Lepisosteus oculatus: one gene and its partner. The protein of the gene in region 2 purifies or fractionates together with the protein of the main gene of each other region. This does not show direct contact. Links are inferred from orthologs where the notes say so. Each region holds a gene or a part of one and is shown on either strand. Other genes may lie near its edges.

Evidence for each region. The genes of interacting proteins can lie anywhere in the genome.
Region 1: the proteins of rbx1 (region 2) and fbxo11b purify together in Homo sapiens (co-immunoprecipitation; 4 studies listed by BioGRID and IntAct, with this or other methods). This does not show direct contact. The link is inferred for Lepisosteus oculatus from reciprocal best matches to the Homo sapiens genes RBX1 and FBXO11.

What each region holds. Positions count from the first base shown.
Region 1 is NC_090712.1:12,876,488-12,886,413, forward strand, and holds the start of fbxo11b (F-box only protein 11), read left to right. Parts: upstream 1-5,832; 5' UTR 5,833-6,087; coding exon 6,088-6,175; intron 6,176-9,926. UniProt on the Homo sapiens protein: Substrate recognition component of a SCF (SKP1-CUL1-F-box protein) E3 ubiquitin-protein ligase complex which mediates the ubiquitination and subsequent proteasomal degradation of target proteins, such as DTL/CDT2, BCL6, SNAI1 and PRDM1/BLIMP1.
Region 2 is NC_090707.1:38,079,951-38,090,212, forward strand, and holds rbx1 (E3 ubiquitin-protein ligase RBX1), read right to left. Parts: upstream 4,442-10,262; 5' UTR 4,410-4,441; coding exon 4,332-4,409; intron 3,681-4,331; coding exon 3,602-3,680; intron 3,160-3,601; coding exon 3,089-3,159; intron 2,677-3,088; coding exon 2,591-2,676; intron 1,802-2,590; coding exon 1,789-1,801; 3' UTR 1,536-1,788; downstream 1-1,535. Other genes in the region: st13 (hsc70-interacting protein), read left to right, coding at 1-125; l3mbtl2 (lethal(3)malignant brain tumor-like protein 2), read left to right, coding at 4,572-4,684, 5,031-5,174, 5,624-5,817, 6,400-6,506. UniProt on the Homo sapiens protein: E3 ubiquitin ligase component of multiple cullin-RING-based E3 ubiquitin-protein ligase (CRLs) complexes which mediate the ubiquitination and subsequent proteasomal degradation of target proteins, including proteins involved in cell cycle progression, signal transduction, transcription and transcription-coupled nucleotide excision repair.

The sequences.
Region 1 (9,926 bases), on a different chromosome or scaffold from region 2:
GGTGTTTCATTAATTATCAGTTTATTATTTACAGATCTTCTGTATAATGTTAATGCAGCATACTGTACATAGATACACTGCAGTGCTGAGGTTAGACAAGGATGGATGGATGTGTTATTAATAGAATATCTATTAACCCTCTATTTATCCAACTTAATCTAAGGAGTTACTGTAACAGGAAGTGTTAGGAGAGATATCAATATTTCCTTAACCCATCCCAGAATTATTACTAGGCTGCCTATGTTCCAAGTCTTGGTACATGTCTCAGGCTCATAAAGTCTAACCATGTACAGTGATCAGATACTGAGCTGTTATTGCGGAATATATGTCTATTGCAAGACATGCTGGCATATTGAGTTTGAATATATATTTAATTTTTTAACTTATTGGAGAAGATTAAGGTTGAATTTTAAGTACTTTTCTGCTACAGAGTACAGTTCTGTGGCTTCTGAAATCTAACAACATGGATATGGATATTAATGACTAAGTATTGATACAATTAATATGTGCCGAACTCAACTAATAAAGTGACAAAAGTTAAATCTGTAGAGTAAAGATTTCCATTCTTCAGAGTGTTAGTCAGAATACTAACACTCTGAGGTCACTGCAGCCAGTGGCACAAGAATAAAGAGGCATTGGATGAAATTCCTTCATGGAAAATTCATGGAATGCTGGTACTCACAATTGTGTCTTTCATCAGCACAATCATGTAAAGAAAAGATTCGCTGGTAGGCAGCAGTAAGTGTACACTAGAATGCTACTCTGTACTTTAATGCCAATGAAATGCAAGGAATGAGTACATAGTTGGTGCTGTTCCCTGGTTTCCCAGCAGGTGGTACTATTTTGCAATGACAATGCTGCCCAGTTGATCATGAGTTGGAAAGACAATTATTGTAACTGAAACACAATATGTGTCTGTAGTATTTAAGAAATGCACAGTAAATGTAATTAAAGGATTTATTTCTTTTTGTGCCAAACAGTATACTACAAATATTTACACTAATATTGCAATTACTAGCTTTAGTAGTAGTATTTTAAAGGCTTGCAAGTTTAAAATTGTGCAAGAAAGCCACACAGCATATGCACATCAACAAGAAAATGTATTACTTTGGAAAATAGAATAGTTTATTTCATTGATTGTCGAACCACGCTTATTTGTCACTTAAGCAGGGTATTGTTTCAGTCTCTTATTAGAAAATAACGTGGCCGAAGTTGATGAATATGGGTGGCTGAGCTGTACTATGACAGGAAAGCAGTGAGGGTGAAGGGTGTGTTGAGAGAGGAGAGACCAGCAAGGTCTTGGTGGTGATGGGGGGTCGAGGCAGTACAAACGTTTGATCAGCAGGGCACGGATCTTTTTCTTTTTAATTGCTGGAGTAGGAGGGCTGCGCCCAGTTAACCCACGACAACAGCAAAGCCACAGTCAGCTCCTGATGACACGGGCTGACTTGTTGCGAAGGAAACGTGTGTGAGAAACAGAGTGGTGGCTTTGTGCCAGCCCAGAGCCACGGAAACGCACACTCTGCAGGGGCAGACAACCGAGAAGCAGCTCTCCTTCACAGGTGCAGTTTGCCAGTTCTTCCAATAATAAATTCCCCAGACGTGTCTGAATGTATGCAGCTTCAGCAGCCTGTACGCACAATTGAGAGCCAAAGCTGGGGTTATGCTTAGGGATAGAGGTTAGGGTTGAGTAGTAGTAGTACAGAGGGGGGCTTCTGGAAAGTTAGCAAGCCATCATAAACAGCTTCTTAACCAAATTCCTTTTACTGTCTGGAAAATTCACAGCATATTCTTTCACTGGAAGGGCTAATCAGTGTTTATTTAACTTTCAAAAGGGAGACGTTAATCTAAACTGTATGAAAACCATTCTTCATTTTTCAGACAGGAATTGACTTTATTATACTGTAGAAAAAGAAATGAGTGCCTGAGAGATTATGCAATTAAAAACTCTAATAATCTGATAATCTAGATATCATCCACTAATGAGAATCCCCAAGTGGCAGTGTGCATTTGGGCAAGCACTGTCTGGGTTTTTGAAAAAGAGAGCTGCAGCATTTTGAGCTGCACAGTTGTGTCTACCTGTGCTGCATACACTTGGGTTAACCTGTCAATAGGCAAAGTGAAAGAGTCGGGCTTGTTATCATTTGGCAGATCCAAAATGTGGACAATATAAACAGAGACGTAATAGGTGGTTCCCAAAATATGAAATGATAAAAGTAAGCATTCAAGGGGTCCTCCTTCACCAGAACGTTTGTTTAGGGGATAGCAACCTGAGCAGATTTTTTTTTCCCTAAAAAGTCTCTGCAATAATTTACTGAAAGGTGCACCTCTGTCTCTTCTACCATGAAGCAAAACTCTGTGGTTACTTGAGTTGCTGGTTTAACAAAGGACACACCCAAAATGTGATGCAATCAGTGTTTTGCTGTATTATATTTTGGGAAAGATATTGAGTATTCTACCTGGATCCCACACCATCATCAGCTTCTTTTGGTGCCAAGATACAATTTAACAAGCCTGTGAATACTGTTATTTGCTTTAAATTTGCCCCCCAAAAAACAAAACATAAATATACAAGATCAGACTCACTGATAAATCATTCATTCTAGCATTGTCCCAGAGGTTTTAATTGTGACTCTTTAGTAGTGGGATATAGTAAACCGTTCTACATCTAGGACCCAAAACAAGATAAAAAAAACTTATTTCTCTCACATGCTGAAGTTGGAGAAGTTAATTTGTGTCTCTAAACTATCAATGTTTATACTGTACACACATGCTTTAATATTAGTGTGTGTCCTGCAAAGGAATAGTGTTTGGTTTGGGACATATATATTTTTTAATCATTCTATGCTTCTGGGATAGTTTCCCAGATAAGTAGCTTCCTGATAATGGATAGATGTTTGGATTTCCTTATTTTTGGATCGCATTGTAACACATACCTTTCCAGAAATGGGAAGGGCTCAAATTATGGTATGGACCTTCGTGAGGTCAGCCCTGTCATAAATTGAGCAGTCAAATAATAATAATAATAATAATAATAATAATAATAATAATAATAATAATAATAATCTGGCCATAGCGCGCCAGAACACTCACCACACATCAGCTATCAGTGGGGAAGAGAGCAGAGTAATGAAGCCAATTCATAGAGGGGGATTATTAGGAGGCCATGATTGGTAAGGGCCAATGGGAAACTTGGCTAGGACGCCGGGGTTACACTCCTACTCTTTTCGAGAAACGCCCTGGGATTTTTTAATGACCACAGAGAGTGGTCATTAAAATTTAATGACCATTAAAATCCATTGGTCCACATATTTCATACAGGTGTGAATCAGGTATGAATTTACAGTGAGCATTATCAATGTCAAAAAAAGTTAAAACAATATGTGATGGAGACATTTCACCAAAAGCTCTTACATACTGTATTTATACTGTTTTTAAATCATGTAAACAACTGGAGATTATTAAACCTGTACAAAGTCACTGAATATATCCACTGTGTCTATGTACCAACTACATGCTAAAGCTATTAGCTATTAGTCTGGGAAAAGCAGCTGTAATTAAAAATACATACTAGAAACACAGGCAAATTGCCATTGGACTGTTAAGATAAGTGCAGTTAATGTTTAGCCAGATATTAACAACTGGGACAGTTGGTTGGTTGGATTAATAAGAACCTGGTGGTGTTTTAGTACATGCAAGTAATTTCAAACCTATGAGTCTTTAAACAAATGCCCTTGGCACAGAAACCATTGTAAAAACTAACAGAAGAATTAAACTGAGAAAAATTAAATGAAATTCTAACTCAGCCCCATAAGGGTGAAGTGCAGAAAGCCATTTTGCAGAAGGGTTTGGAGTGGAAAGAGGCTGAAATGGCTCAGGATCTTCTTATCAACTAAATCATAATCTTGTAGTTTTAGGGTTGGGCTTAGAGATCACCTTTCAGGGGAGAAGAAATGTTTTCTTGCATCAGGCCTTCTATGTTTACAATTAGAAAACACAAATCTCTCCTCATGTTTACTCCAGCATTTGTGTGAACATGTTGCTATTAACCGGTGCTTAGTACCCATTACACTTTGTGTCATTCCAGGGGCTGTGTTAGTGCTACACTTCACAGTACAGTATGTACAGTACAGAGTATTACCATGGGAGGTGCAGTGGATCTGTGGCTGGAAGGATCTGCACCTGTGGCTGGAAGGTTGCTGGTTCAAATCCAGCGTCCGGCAGAGGAGTCCTACTTCGTTGGGCCCCTACGTAAGGCCCTTAACCCAAACTGCTCCAGGGGTGCTGACCCTGTGCTCTGACCCCAAGCTTCTCTCCCTGTCTGTGTGTCTCATGGAGAGCAAGTTGGGATATGTGAAAAAGACAAATTCCTAATGCAAGAAATTGTGTATGGCCAATAGTGATCTTATCGTATCTTACATTGAAACAGACAGTGAGGAAACAACATATTTTTATTTTAAGAAACAAGTTAAGGTTTATTTCATGCTGAAAAAAGAAGAAAGGAAACACAGCATTTCAGCTGTGGAATCTTCTTCAGGTATCAACGCTCTTCAATGTACACCCAAAGAAGGCTCCACAGCCGAAATGTTGTTTCCTTCCTTTTCTTTTCAGCAGGAAATAAACCTTTACTTGTTTCTTTGCAGCCTACGCATGCTGATGCATCTACCTACTTGAACTATATTGATTTTAATTTGAGTGACCACACTTCTTCAATTCATTGTCCTTCATTACATTGTATTGTTTGTAATTATTTTCTACAGTCTTTATCAAGGCATAAAAGGTCAAGTGACATGGTGTCTACTCCTTGCCTCCTGGGCTTTATTTCTGCTTGGGCACCTGTCTCGGTAGAATTTGCATGTTCACGTGGGATTTCGCTGGGTGCTTCAGTTTTCTCCCACCTCACAAAGATTTCAGGTTATATCAGAGTTTTCAAATTGTCCCTTTAAAGGACAATGTTACGGAGGAGTTTCAAAGTGATTTCAAACAGCCCCATTTCATTTGTGATCTTCCTGATGTGTTTGGCCCAGGTGAGTGAGTCATCTTATAGGATCAAGTAATTTTTTCAAGTTTCTTGTATAGAATATTGTTTTGTAGATGGAGATTCTAAGTAAATAAAATGAACAAAACCAACAACCCAAAATAAGCTATTATAAATACTGGTGCCTTTATTTCCTCCGTGACTAAACCTTTGTTCCTATTATTAAACGACCCCCCTCCCCCCATACTATGAAATGGCTGTATTGTTCCCTAATGACTAATTATTATGTAGAGGCATACCAGTAAAATAAATATTGCATGCGTACAGAACTCATTAAGACTTTCTCATACGTCATACTAATTATCCGTGGTTTTGGTCAGCATGCAAATATTTTTTTTGAATATACATAAGGAAAGCATACATCGCATTATCTTATTTAAAAAAAAATCCTTAAATCTACACAGACGAGACATAATCTAAAATGATGAAAATATGGAATGCAACGAATGCTGAGTCTATGCACCTTTAAATGCAACAACGGTTTGTGCATTAATAACATGCAAGTATATCATGGCTGTAACTAATGATGACTCTTTCCACGCATTTGATTTAGAAATCAGTTTCCTGTCAGCTGAAAGTGATAACAAGACTATATTGCCTAGCTGGCCCAGCTAAGGCGATGGTGTATTTCACCGAACTGCGCTTTAACGATTTTGTGGTACCTTTTTATTTCCACTCTCCGGCATCCAAGTCAGAACCCTACTAAGTATTTTAAAAGAGGCATTCCTATTTGCAGTGGCTTCTAAAAACTATGAACCGTTGCCTGCGATTGGTGGAGAGTCTTCCCGTGTGATATTTTTTTGTGAGTGTGTCTCTCTGTGAGTAAATGGCTCCTCCTGCCAGAGTGAGACGGAGCTGAGACAGAGGAGTACAGGGGGAGCATTAAGAAAAACATAAATAACATCCAAAAAATAACGATTCCGAGACGGGATAAGCATTTTTTTTACATTAGGGGGAAAACGGAATTTTAAATTGGGTTGAACGTTAAGAAAATTTAGGCAAATTATAGGGAAGGGTTCGAATTTTTTAAAAAATAATAAACTCCCCAAATGAACTCCGTCAGAGCAACCAACAGAAGACCCAGGCGAGTGTCGAGGCCGCGCCCGGTGCAGCCGGAAAGGAACAACGGAGAAAGAGGTAAGAATTAGTCTTTATATATTACCGGTGAAAGGTTGTGTTTTTGAAAGATATTACTGTAGTGTTACGTACAATGCAAAACGATTTCGCCTTGTGCCCTGTTTACAGCCGGTGGGCTGTGGGCCGTACTGTTTGGTAGACTCACATTAGGAAAACGCGAGGCTTCGCTTTAGTGGCCGATAGGATAGGCCGCGCTTTGTTTGGCTTGGCTTGCTCCTAATCCCTGCTGATGTGAGTACTGTTTGGGGATCGTCGTTTCCAGTGTAACTATGATAACATTTATTTTAAACAATGAAAGAATTTCTCCCCCCCAAAATTATTATTAACACATCGTGTTTTACTAAATAGTTACTTGCGTTGTGTTTTTCGTCTTAGTGTTCTTCCCTGTTTGAGGGGGTGTAGTGTTTAATGTTAACTTACTTGGCAACCCCCTTAGCAATCATTTGTCTTTTAAATGGTATCCCTGATAGCAAGCAGTACTATGGTGTATGTTTACGGTGGGTTTACTGCGTAGTTGAGGCTGTACTTAGCTACAGGAGCTTACTAAACACTAGAATCGACCTAGTGACGGGTGGAAATGTTAATAATCTAAACATGTAATTGATTTGTGTTTGGTTTATTTTTGTGCATAACCGCAGTATATCATGCCTTTCATGGGGTCTTTCGTATATTCAGGCCTTGGGTTGGGTGCCGATTGGCATCTGTGATGATCAATCACGCACCATTGTCTTCAGAAGTAGGCATTTTAAAACAACGCGTAGACAAAAGTCTGTTTTTTTACGTAAACACATTTTCGGTTTCGAAGTGACGTACAGTGAGAGGCCCAGTGTCTTACATTACGCAGGAAAAAAAGGTTTTTTAGTATATTGGTAAATGTTGATCAAGCTATTCCTGAATATTGGGTCATGTCTTGCAACTCAAGCAGGAGGTGTCAATAAGGGATTTTCATTTGTGCAGTTTGACTTTTAGTGACAGCAGGGCCGAGGTTGATTAAGTTCTCAGGAATTTCCATGTTTTTCAGCCTTTTAGTTTCTTGAGAGGTTGTTACAGTCTGATCATATAGACTCTATTATATTATTTATCTCTTCAGTCATGTCACAAAAAGCAGTAAAATGTTATGAAATTCCTGAAAAAGAAACATGATCAGAAAGCACATAAAAACTCCACATACAAAGTTTATAGAAATTTCAAATTTAGGTCAACTTTTACAAATGCTTTAGGAACATAATCCAAACTGCTACCAGTCTACCAGTAGTCTTTTACAGACATGGGGGGGAATTATATATATTTTTACTTAAAATAATTTGTAAGTGCCAATACCTGCTAATGGTATGTTAGTTTTGCTATTTTTTATGCGGGCACATGTTGATTTCTGGAAAACAATTTTTTTTTGTTCTTGTGTGTATTTCTCCATAGCTAGAGAGAGATCAATGTACTGGGGGAGAGAAATAAAAACATGTTTTGACATTTCCTGTAGTCCAGTGTCATGTTTTGCCAAAATGTAAACTATAGTAGTAAAACTGTTACTATGACACAAATGGGCAGTGAAATCTGTATGGTGACACTTGCTAAATTTGAGTCTGTCAGGATTTAAAATGCTTTACCAAACAATTTACAGTTTAGAAAAAAATCAAATGGTGAACGTCTTTTGTGGTGGCTGGCATGGTGGCTGTAGAAGTTGGTTAGCATAGCTGTTTCGCAGCAGTGTGGCCCGGTGTTCAATTCCAGACCTAGGCTGCTATCTGTGTGGAGTTTATATGTTCTCTCTGTGTTCATGTGGGTTTCCTCTGGGTGTTCTGGTTTCTTCCCATAGCCCATAAACCTAAAGATGAGTTAATTGGCTTCTAGAAAAATTCTGGTGTGAGTGTGTGCCCTACAATGGACTAGCATCCTGTCCAAGATCTATCCTGTTTTGCGCCCCCTGCTTGCTGGGTTAGGTCCCCCCGCAGCCTTGAACTGGATGAAGAGGTTAGAGAATGGATGGGTGTCTTTTGTGCACAGATGGCGCAGTGGTGCAGAGGTTAGCATTGCTGCATCATAGCACTGGAGCCCTGGGTTCAGTGTCTGGGGAACTATCTGCATGGCGTTTTATATTCTCCCTGCATTCATGTGAGTTTCTGCCTGGTGCTCTGGTTTCCTACCATGGTCCGGGGACATACTTGCGTCCCGTCCAGGGTATATCTTGTCTTGTGTCCATTGTTTGCCAGATAGGCTATAACTCCGTTGCACATCAAAGTATGGAGGAGCATTACCATCTTGTAGCCTGATCTCATCCTATCTTGTTGGACATTGTCAAATTCGGGATGGAAGACCAGGTTGCCACTGTAAGTGGTATTGATAGACCAGTAGGTGGCACTTTTCCTTCTGTACAGTGATGTCAAAGCCTATTATGGCAACTGGACAGTGTAATGTAAGAGGTGCTGACCTTTGTATAGAGCATTAAACTGAAGTCCTGACTACATGACTTTTAAGTATCACGTGTTGCTGTTTGTAAGAGAAGTGTCATTCTGCTTTTGGCTTGCACAATCGGCCCTCTCTGAATTGCCCCCTCAACTCAATTGAAGTCATTTTCACTTCTCTGCCTCATCTGCTATGTAGTGAGCCTTCTGGTGCATAATGGCTGCTGCGTGTCACTCAGTTGGACGCTACATTTTAGTGGTGGATGAAGTGGTTCCCCTGAAATATGTGGAACACTGGGGTTTTGGGGGATGAAAAGCACTGTAGAGATGTAAGAAATTGTTTAATACTTTCCATCAGTTTCCATTGTAGTGAGTGATGCTCATTCAAAAAGATGGGGGGTGGGGAGGGAATAGGGATGTAAGCATTGTTGACACTATTTCTGATAAGAAATAACCAAAGATGGCCCATCCGAGCACAGCAGACAGTTAACGTTTTGATTGAGATAACTGCGTAGACAGTGTGTGGCAATCCGTCTTGGCATGGTAGGCCTTTGTCAAGTTTCCAGCAAAAGCCAATCAAGGTGTCATGCCCCACACCCCATGCAAAAGAGCGTGTGATTTAAGCTGCAGGAATGCATAGGTGGTTTTCCTTTGTGGGAGCGGCATTTGTGCTTCTTATATCCATTTTACTCTCTGACCTGGTGCTGTTAATGGCAGGTAAAGGACTCATGAAAGCACAGCAATGCTATTCTTTGCAACTGAAGAATTAACAATGTTGGGCTAAAGAATAATTCTGATTTGAAATACAATTATTGAATCTGTTGGTTAAAATGCATCAAAACATCAAGGAAGAAATAGGAATGTCTTGTCTAATTGTTACTTTTTAGTTAGTTCCTAGTCCTGTGTTTTTTTTTAATTCATTTACATGGCCGAATACAGATCTCTTTCTCTGTTTTCATGATTTGTTTAATTGCTAACATTGCTTTTCTTTACAAGTATAGTTGGTACAAGAGCCTGCAGCCTGGAATACCTGATGAAGCTGCAAGCAGTGGGAGGCTTTTCTTCACCTGTTTATATGTAGTACATAGTATTGGTGTTGTACCATGGATGTTGACATTCTTGTCAGATCATTATCTTAATGCATTTTATGTGAACAGGACATTTGAATTAATATCAGGTTTGCTGGAACGTGGATGAGAGTCTAGACTATATAGTTCTTATGCGTGCAAACATCAATGTATTCTTAATATTACTAATTTGTCTGTTTCTTTGACATCTTATTGTTGTACTACAGTCTACAGAGTGGTGGTATGGCCTAACAGTTGAGGCAACTACTGAAGTGCCATTTTGGT
Region 2 (10,262 bases):
AGGTGATGGCAGCCTTCCAGGATGTGGCTCAGAACCCAGCCAACATCTCCAAGTACCAGAGCAATCCCAAGATCATGGCCCTCATCACTAAACTGTCTGCCAAGTTTGGGGGGGCTCAGCCCTAAAGCTGGGGGTGGGGGTATAGGGTGGAAGTGGGTGTTGGGGGGGGCAGGGCAGGTGAGGATTAGTGAATGACAGAAAGCACACTGTGCGCAGCTGTGGCTGTTGGGGTGGAGGGGGCGATCTGCCCTGCCAGGACACCTTTCTCTCTACGCAAGGCCCTGATGAAGTCTGTATCCAGAACCTCAAAGAGCTGGGAGCATCCCACCTGCCCCCTTCTCCTTCAGGGGAGGATGTTAAAACGGGGGGGCTATCAAGAACTGCAGAAGTCCAACTAAGGGCAGGTTTTGCCAATACCTGAAGCACCCACTCAGGAGATAAGATCCAGAGGCAACTAGCACTGTCCAGGGCACCCCAGGGAATATTTAACTGCCCCCTTAGTGGGCGATGTTTGTTGGTGTATCCAGGTGTGCAAACCCAAGGTTTAACTTGCAGCTTTCCTATTTACTTCTCTACTTCAAGATTTTTTTTTTAATTGTTAAAGCAAAGGACAGCTCTCTGAAATGGAGAAGAGCACTAAATATCTAGCTTTTGTGTTGGGAATTAAATGAATTAAATCAAATCTAAAAAAAAATAAAGACATGAAAATGTTTTTTCTGGAGTCATTTGGAGTGTTTTTTTGTGTAACCTTGATCTTCAGGAGCTTTTAAATCATCAGCCCATACTACGGCAGGGGCTGTGTTCAGTTCACACAACTGACTAGACAGCCCTGCTGCAGACACACTGACTGACCCCCCAGGACCAGGACTGGGGCAGAGGCAACTGGTCACATGACCCAAGCTCCACCCCACAGTATCAGTCACACGGCCTCAGAACACACAGCTATGGGGGGGGGGGGGGGGGCGATATGCAAATCCATTTAAGCAAAAGAAAAGTGGTACAGCACTATCTTTGTTTCCTATTTAGCTCACACAATGTATATATTGGACAGCAGGTTAAACCCCACTGGTGTAGAAAGAGGTTCACCTGGCTCCAGGGCAGTGGAAGTGCAGCAGACTAGTTGCACTCTCAGTTAGATTTCACCCACGATCACAGCATTCCTGCATCACAGAACGCACTTTTACATCTCCCATTGTTCCTACTTTGCCCTCTCCCTCAATCCTGGTCCTGGTGACCCCCACACCTGCTCGGTTCCATTCCACCCCCCCAAATTAGACAATCAAAGCCCGTCTTCTTTGGAATATTTGCATTGTGGTTGTAGTCACAAGTTTGGGGTTTAATTTCACGTTAAACAAACACGCCGGTTAGAGCTTGACCGCATTGATGAGCCGCGAACAAACAGTTCAGGATACGGCAACAAAGCCTCTGACTGGGTCTGGAAGAAGAACGGGCAGGTGTGTGGGTCACCAGAACCAGCACCGGGAACCACTGCTCCACCCATCCAAAAAAAAAAAAACAGACAACAGGAAGCCTCCTTACATTGAACACAGAGGTTTATTTATAATTTACAAACGGACCGTGAACGTGTTTTTTTTAAAAAAAAAACTCAGACTATTTCATGCCAGCTCATGGGGAGACGCAGTCGAGAGAGAGAGTGCACCCCACACAACAGCTGGGGCCAGGCCCGGGGCCAGTGCCCGCGTGCAGAGGGGAGGAGAGGAGGAGGAGGGAGGGGCTGTACGCCAGCGACCTGTAGCGTAGCCACTGCCCAGTCCACTGTCCTTCACCCTAGTGTCCGTACCTGCAAGGGCAAGGAAAGCACAAATCAATCATTACACCAGGTAACAGCACCACCCACCCACCCACCCGCCCGCCCTGCCAGAGGGAACAGGATATTGCACACCAGACGATCCCGATTCCAGCACACAGGTGCACACACGCTACACACCTCTCGTCCTGGCAGACACGGACTGCACACCTGCTCTACAAACTGCGCGCCCCGCAAGCGTACAGCTCGCCTTTACCAGAACGCGATTCGCGAGACGCGAATGAATATTAATCAGCTCTTGGTTCGATCGCAGTGCCGCAGGAGAGCGTGCTACCTCGAATAATCAATAACCGTTAGACCGAGCTCGGTCCCGTCTCTGGGAGCACTGTGACTGGACAAACAGCTCATCAACATTCCACAATTCATCCCGAGTGTTGCTCTTCACGCCCAGGCTAGCCAGGAAGGGCGTTCATTCACAAAACAGACCTCCTCTATATATACACACCCCCCCCCCCCAGCCTAAAAACTCCATCCTGGTGCCAAAGCATATTTTAAACTATTTTAGTATGAGCAGGAAGGAGAGAGCCCTGTTCTGTTCTTTGTGTGTTCTGGACTGTGAGTAACTCTTCTTGGTGCCCTTCTCACTGTACTGATTGTACTGTATTATTATTATTGTATCATTCGTTACACTGTTTCTGTGTTAAGCTGCTGTTGCACTGCAGTTTCCCTCACGGGATCAATAAAGTATCTGTCTATCCAGGCAGGGATGCCCGGCAGGGGATCCTGTCTATCCTGGCAGGACACTCCAGGGGAGCTACTCACTTCTGGAACTCCCACTCCCGGTTGTCCAGGGGGCAGACCTGTCGCGTCTTCAGCCAGCGCGAGATGCAGTGGAAGTGGAAGGCGTGCTGCGGGAGAGCAAGGGGAGAGGAGGGGCGGTCAGCTTGGGGGTCTTTCCGAGAGGTCGGTCGAGCAGGGGGGGGGGGAGGGGGGCTCAGGTTCCAGATACCGGGGGCAGCTCTGGCTCCTGTTTCCACTCATCTCCACACCCCCCTTTCCAGACAGGGGGGTTCAGACAAGCGGCACGGATTACAGGAGGGGGGCGGGGCGTTTGCGGGTTCGCCCCCACGCCCGTAGGGGAACCCCCCTCGCGGCTACTCTGTTCGTTCACACGGCGCCAGTGCCACCCGTGTGCCCCTCTGAGGGGCTAGACAGGGCGAAAACCGGCTGTCTGGGAGAGCCCAGCGTGGCGGTGGCGTCTGTGCGGATGAGGCCCAGAGGAGGTCGAGGGAGGGAGGGAGGGAGAGCGCTCAGTCTTACATTGCAGACGCCCCAGGCCACAGTGCACTCCTCAGACGTAGCAGAAGCCTGGTTGGCCTGACATTCAATACCTGCAGAGAGAGAGAGAGAGAAAAACACAGCAGCGTGTTACCCTGTGAGCTTCAGAGGCACCTTAGGACTGGCACCTGAGTAAGACACCAGCGTCTGGATCTCATGTCTGTACACTCATACTGTGTCAGTGCATCAGTACAGTATAATTCATGTCTGTACACTCATACTGTGTCAGTGCATCAGTACAGTATAATTCATGTCTGTACACTCATACTGTGACAGTGCATTCACACAGCTCTGGGCTGTCAGTGTATTGGAGTCAGTATAATTAGTCTCAACACTCTAACCATGCCTGTACAGTCACACAGCTCTGCGCTGTCAGTGCATCAGTGTCAGAACAGTATAATTCATGTCTGTGCACTCTTACTGTGTCCTTGCATTCACACAGCTCTGCGCTGTCAGTGTTTTGCAGTCAGTACAGTAGAACTCCCATTTACTCACACAGGTCCATGATGTGGTTCCTGCAGATGGCACAGTTGTCCACCACGATATCCCAGGCCCACAGCGCTACTGCATTCCACTAGCAGCGGGGGGAAAGACAGAACACTTCACTTACTGACAGTGCATGCACCAACCTGGCTGACCCTGACCGGCCACCCGCTCGAGATGTGTCCACCCGCTCGTGTTCTCTGCCTGCATGTTGTTATTGCGACATTCGTGAGTCTCGCCCGGCCTCACATCGGGAGGGCCGAGTAATCCGGCAGAGCGGCGCTACTGGGCGCTGTTGTTGTTGTTGTTGTTGTTATTATTCATTAATTAATTATTATTTATTAAAAGGGGCATCTGGTGCTGTAAACCGTGTCCGAGGTGCTGAAAAGTGTATTGCTTTTTTCCCTCCCGACCAGCTTTGTCGGCGCTTGAGAAAAGAAACAGCTTCGTCATTCAAAAAAAGCGAGGAGAACTGAACCGGCTGAAACACGAATACACACTTGTTATTCTCAAAAAGCAGGCGCCCGACAAAAATAGTTTAAGCTGGCGCCCTCAGAAAAGCCTACGGAAATAAATCCGTAAGCCCATTAGCCATCGTTAGCTAACCACGCAAAAACACCGCAAAGCGTCCAGTATTACTCCCCAAACACCTGTATGTTACAACCGATTAACAACAGTCATCAACTTAATCTCTCTCCGTCCCTCCGTCCTTAATTTTTCCTCCTCGAATTACTCAAAGTACCTTTTTCACTTCGAAACGCTTCTTGCTGGCTCCGCTGTTGGTCCCGCTCGGGGCGTCCACATCCATCGCTGCCGCCATCTTGTCTCTGGGAACCCTGGCTCTTGAGCGCCTGCGCTGGCCGTCGCTTCCGGCGGCGAGCTGTGACATCACGGTCCCCATAACAACAGGGCCTGCGGTTCCACACGAAGCCTGACTTTGTACCTGCAGCCTGCCGGCCCGCCGCAGAAGGACGCGTTTGCGATGGTCCAGTGTTTTGCCCCCGACTGCAACCATCACAGCGAAAGAGAAACCTGCAAATTCTTCCGTTTCCCCAAGGATCTGAGGCAGTTCCGAGTTTGGCAAGAGCGATGCAGGTTGGCACGCCGTTTTGCGGGATAAACAGTTAAAAAGTGACATATGGCAGGTGTCTTCGTTTCACCAGTATGCCTCTGAAAAACCTGCAGCCTGTTTTGCGTCAGAGTATCGAGCTATTGAGTGACAGACCAAACCCCTGCCTGTTTTGACAGAAGGCTTTAGGTTGTCTGGTTGTAGTTTCTGTGAGCTTCTCTAAACGTGAAATGTGTCGTTCAGGAACAATAGGATGGCGATTCTTTGCCTTACAAGTCCTGTTCCTGTCCTGTCCCCCCACAAACACACAGAGAGGCCCTCTAGAGGCACCTGAACTGAGGGTCAGGCCAACCAGCCGGTCTTTTCTTCCAGGCGGCAGGACAAAGACCCGAGCGTCTTCTCCAGGCTCTGCAGCTGCCACTTCGCGGAGGGGAAGAAGGACAGGGGCCCGTCCATCTTCAAGACCCGGGCCACCGGCCCGCGGGCCTGGACGCCGCAGAAGAAGAGGAGGAACCGGTAAGCATCCTGCGAGAGGCAGGAGGGGGTGGCGTTCTCCCAGGGAGCCAGGCAGGACCATGGGGCACCGGATCTGGCCAGGACACTGGGGTTACACTCCTGCTCTTGTCGAGAGACGCCCTGGGATTTTTAATGACCACAGAGAGTCAGGACCTCAGTTTTATGTCTCATCCAAAGGACGGTGCCTTTTTACAGTATAGTGTCCCCGTCACTATACTGGGGCATCAGGACCCACACAGACCGCAGGGTGAGCGCCCCCTGCTGGCCCCACTCACACCTCTCCCAGCAGCAGCCTCAATTGACCCCAGGAGTCTCCCCTCCAGGTACTGGCCAGGCTCACCCTGCTGGGCTCCAGTGGGGCTGCCGGCTGGGAGCTGCAGGGTGGTGGAGCTGCTGGCCGTATCACTAGTGGGATAAAAGTGAAGAGGATTCCATTCTCCCGCCTGCAGGGCCCCCGGTGCTGAGCCTGCAGGGCCTGTGGTGCCGCTGGACGCGCCCAAGCAGCCCGAGCCTCTGCTGTTCCAGCCGGCGTCCCCTCTTGGCCCGGAAGGCGGCGCTCCGGGTCCCACTGGCGAAGAGGGTGGCGGGGAAGAGGAGCCCGGAGTCCCAGGAGGGGTCCTGCATCTGTCCCCTCCCTCCCGAGGTGAGGTCAGGGCCCGGGGAGATCGGGGGCGACATGAGGACAGTCACAGAGGAGAAGAGGCCGTAACTGATGGCTCTACTTTTTCAGTAACTAACAGATCTGTCTGCCATAAATAACCGGACACCTCTTGGCAAAAGCCAGGGTATCAAAACCATGGCAGGGAAGCTTGTTCCCCACTCCCGCCCTTTGCGTAAAGTAGCCCCCCCGTCCCGATTAGAGGATCGAATCCAACCGTTTTGGGGAATTAACTGTGCTTCACACCTTAACTTTTACCATAAATTGTCCACAATTTTAAACTTAAGGCCTGTGTTTTTGCTTTTATTGCAACAGTTTGATTGGAATTTGCTACAGTAATGTAAGCTTGAGCATTGAGCCTTCTCGTTATTAATTTTTTTACAGCGTGTAAGAACATGTGGGCTGTGTTCCTGCTAGTGACTTGCCGGTTCTGGTGAATCACAGATGCCGACTGTTTATTGCTCAGTTTATTCATCCATTCGGGACGTGTTAGACTGGGCCTGAACCCAGGGTGTCGGTCAGCACACGGGATGCGATGGAAGCCGCTGTGCCTTGTGTTCTCCGCAGCTCCAGCGCCGCCCAGCTGGCTGCCGGCTGCAGCAGACGGCTCCGCGTCGCAGGCGAGTGTGGAGAGGCATGTGGGCTCCCCTCAGGACCCCATCGCAGAGCTGCAGGTAGGTGATACTGCTGCTGTTACTGTCACTGATACTACTGTTACTGCTACTAATACTTCCACTGACACTGCCCCTGCTGTCACTAATACTACCACTGATACTACTGTTACTGCTACTAATACTACCACTGACACTGCCCCTGCTGGCACTGATACTACCACTGACACTGCCCCTGCTGTCACTGATACTACTGTTACTGCTACTAATACTACCACTGACACTGCCCCTGCTGGCACTGATACTACCACTGATACTACTGTTACTGCTACTAATACTACCACTGACACTGCCCCTGCTGGCACTGATACTACCACTGATACTACTGTTACTGCTACTAATACTACCACTGACACTGCCCCTGCTGGCACTGATACTACCACTGATACTACTGTTACTGCTACTAATACTACCACTGACACTGCCCCTGCTGGCACTGATACTACCACTGATACTACTGTTACTGCTACTAATACTACCACTGACACTGCCCCTGCTGTCACTGATACTACCACTGATACTACTGTTACTGCTACTAATACTACCACTGACACTGCCCCTGCTGTCACTGATACTACCACTGATACTACTGTTACTGCTACTAATACTACCACTGACACTGCCCCTGCTGTCACTGATACTACCACTGATACTACTGTTACTGCTACTAATACTACCACTGACACTGCCCCTGCTGTCACTGATACTACCACTGATACTACTGTTACTGCTACTAATACTACCACTGACACTGCCCCTGCTGGCACTGATACTACCACTGATACTACTGTTACTGCTACTAATACTACCACTGACACTGCCCCTGCTGTCACTGATACTACCACTGATACTACTGTTACTGCTACTAATACTACCACTGACACTGCCCCTGCTGTCACTGATACTACCACTGATACTACTGTTAATGTTACTTATACTACCACTGACACGACTACTATTACCACTATTATTTTTTTCTTGAAAAAAAAAGTCATGGCCTCCTGATAACCCCCCTCTCTGAACTGGCTCCATCACTCTGCTCTCCTCCCCACTGAGAGCTGGTGTGTGGGGAGCGGACTGGAGCATCATCCAGGTGGGGTACACACTGGTGGGGGTGGAGGGGATCCCCAGTACCTGTACAGCGCTGTGAGTGGAGTGTCCAGAAAAGCGCTATATAAGAGTAATCAATTATTATTAGTATTAGTATTAGCAGTAGTATTATTATTAGCTGTCTCTACTAGTAACACAACTCAAGCTGCTGCCTTTGCAGATTAGTGTGCAAGAGGGGGTGGGAGTGTGGAACAAGCTGCCCAGCCATGCTGTAAGATGATATGCAGTATATAAGCACATACAATAAGATAAAAACACATGGAGAACGTTTTTCAGGGTTTGATGTGGAATGCCATCTGCAGTATCAAAGGTAGGTTCAGAAGTGTGCTGTCTATACACAGAAATGGATTCTGGAAATATTCTGAATGTTTGAAATAACTGTATGGAAAAAAAAGGGTAAATGTGAAGTTAATAATGACACTGACTTAAAAAACGTCAGGTTCCACCGAGATTTGAACTCGGATCGCTGGATTCAGAGTCCAGAGTGCTAACCATTACACCATGGAACCATGTGACTGAGCCGTGTCGGTCGTCTCTTTTCTGTATTTGAGTAGAACGACAAGCGCTCTCATTCGATGCCGATGTCGATTACTTGTTGAGCACGCGTTTCGGGTTAAGGTGTGTTTTAACTGACTGTGTTAGAAACGCGTTATGTAGACGGGTATATTAGGATACAGCGAAGGGAACGTGCGTCTATTCCGCGCAAGTGTACGAAACTACAAATCCCAGAACCCTCAGCGGATCTCAGCGATGAACCTCGGCTGCGATTGGTGGGATAGGTCTACCGGTTAGCCAATAGGGAGCGAGATACTTGACCGGCCCTAACTCGGCATGGAGCGCGTAAGTTATGTTGTTTTGTTCGGCAATTCTAAATACTTACAACTGCATTAATGTGCAGACAAAGGAAACAATATCCAAGACCGCTTGATGGTGTTTAAGCGTTCGCATGACTTAAACAAGTGTGCATTTTGTTTTTTTTTTAAACATCCCTCGGTTTTGCAGTGTATAGCCTTCGGGCGCTAACCTCTTGTTTTCGTTAAAGGGGAGCTGCGCTCACAATTTCTCAGACCAGGGTATTCGATCTCGGTAACAAAGTCGATTACTGCACGTTAAAAGAATCGCCAAATTTAACGCATGTGGAACGAAGCGCGACATCGTGAACTTTTGTGTAAGCACAGCGCGGTCGCCATGCTGTCGCAGGCGGGGGGTGGAGAGCAGCACGCGAACTCGTCACGGGCGAGAGAACGAGAGATCGCGAGAGCGGTGACGTAAAATCGGCCCTTCCTGCTCGCCGGCCGAGAAGCGTGATCTTCTATCTATAACAACATCACTCCTGTTTGTCCTTTTGGAGTCGCGCATGTGTCTCGGACGATGCCTCACTGTCGTGCCTTTGGCTGTTCAGAACATAGTGGCCGCACCCAAAGCAGGGGCTCTCATCAGCAGAAGGTCAGGCTGTTTCCTTTTCCAAGAGATATTGAACTGGCCAGGCGGTGGCTAGCCAACATGGGCGCTGAAGCCGGGCCCGTCGACACGTTCCTCGAGGAGATTCAGCGCGATGCGCGATCAGATAAGCACAGGTTGTGCAGCAAGCACTTCACCCCAGAAATGTTCGAACGCGATCTGCAAGCTGAGTTAACAAGTAAGTAGGTTTTGTCAGCAAAGCCGCTGGGTTGAAGTCAGGTCAGCTGCGCTCATTCAGATCGGCTGTCCTGGCATCCACACGGGCTGTGACACGACACGTCCTCCAAGAATATCAAGCCCTGCTAGAATCTTTCTGTCACGTCTGATGTACCAGAAAATAAATGAAAGAGCACTTTTGTCAAATTTGGGAAGGAATATGAGCGTATTTATGTTGGTTGGCAGATCGCTCTTTTTTTTTTGCAAACCTTAGATTAACTATCTAAAAAAACACGTCGCCTTGTATGGATGGGCTTCATGAGGATATTTAAACTGAATAAAGTGGCGTCATCTGCATGGGCTAAAGCATGTGACTCATTGTGACAGTAATAGATCGGTTTCAGATGTTGTCAGTTTGGGATAGGACCTGTGTGTTGAGCTTTTCTCTGCTTTGGAGTTTACGTGTTTGTGAAGCCCGACGGTCCGTAATATAAAATATATTCATTTCAGATACTGAGCCAAAACTTAGGCTCAAGCCCGGGGCCGTTCCTACCGTTTTTACTCAGGAAAAGCAACCGATGAAAACAGAAAGCAGTGGGAGGGCCAAATCAGCGCTCAATAGAGAACGGGTATGTGAGTATACCTTGGGCCTAGAGTACGGAGAAGCCTCTACTCTTTGTAACCTCTTTAAAAATGTGTAGTTTTCCTCTCCGCAGGTGAGGTGGAGAACTACACTTCCCACGATGCCCGGGGGGGGGGGGGGCTTGTCCATTTCCTGTCTAATGACCTCGAGCTGGGAGAGATTAGCTACTTCCTCCCTGGCTTTAAACAGCAAACCCAAGTTTGGTGTCTTCTGTCTGAAGAGGGCCTGAAGGCTAGATATGAAAATATTTAACAAGAAAGTTTGATATCTGTGTGTAAAATTTAGATGCAAGTAATAGCCCTAATAACACTATTTTGTTCATGATTGATTTTGGTTTTCCCTGATCAAGGATTCGACACAATAAATAAGTAACATAATTTTGATGTGCA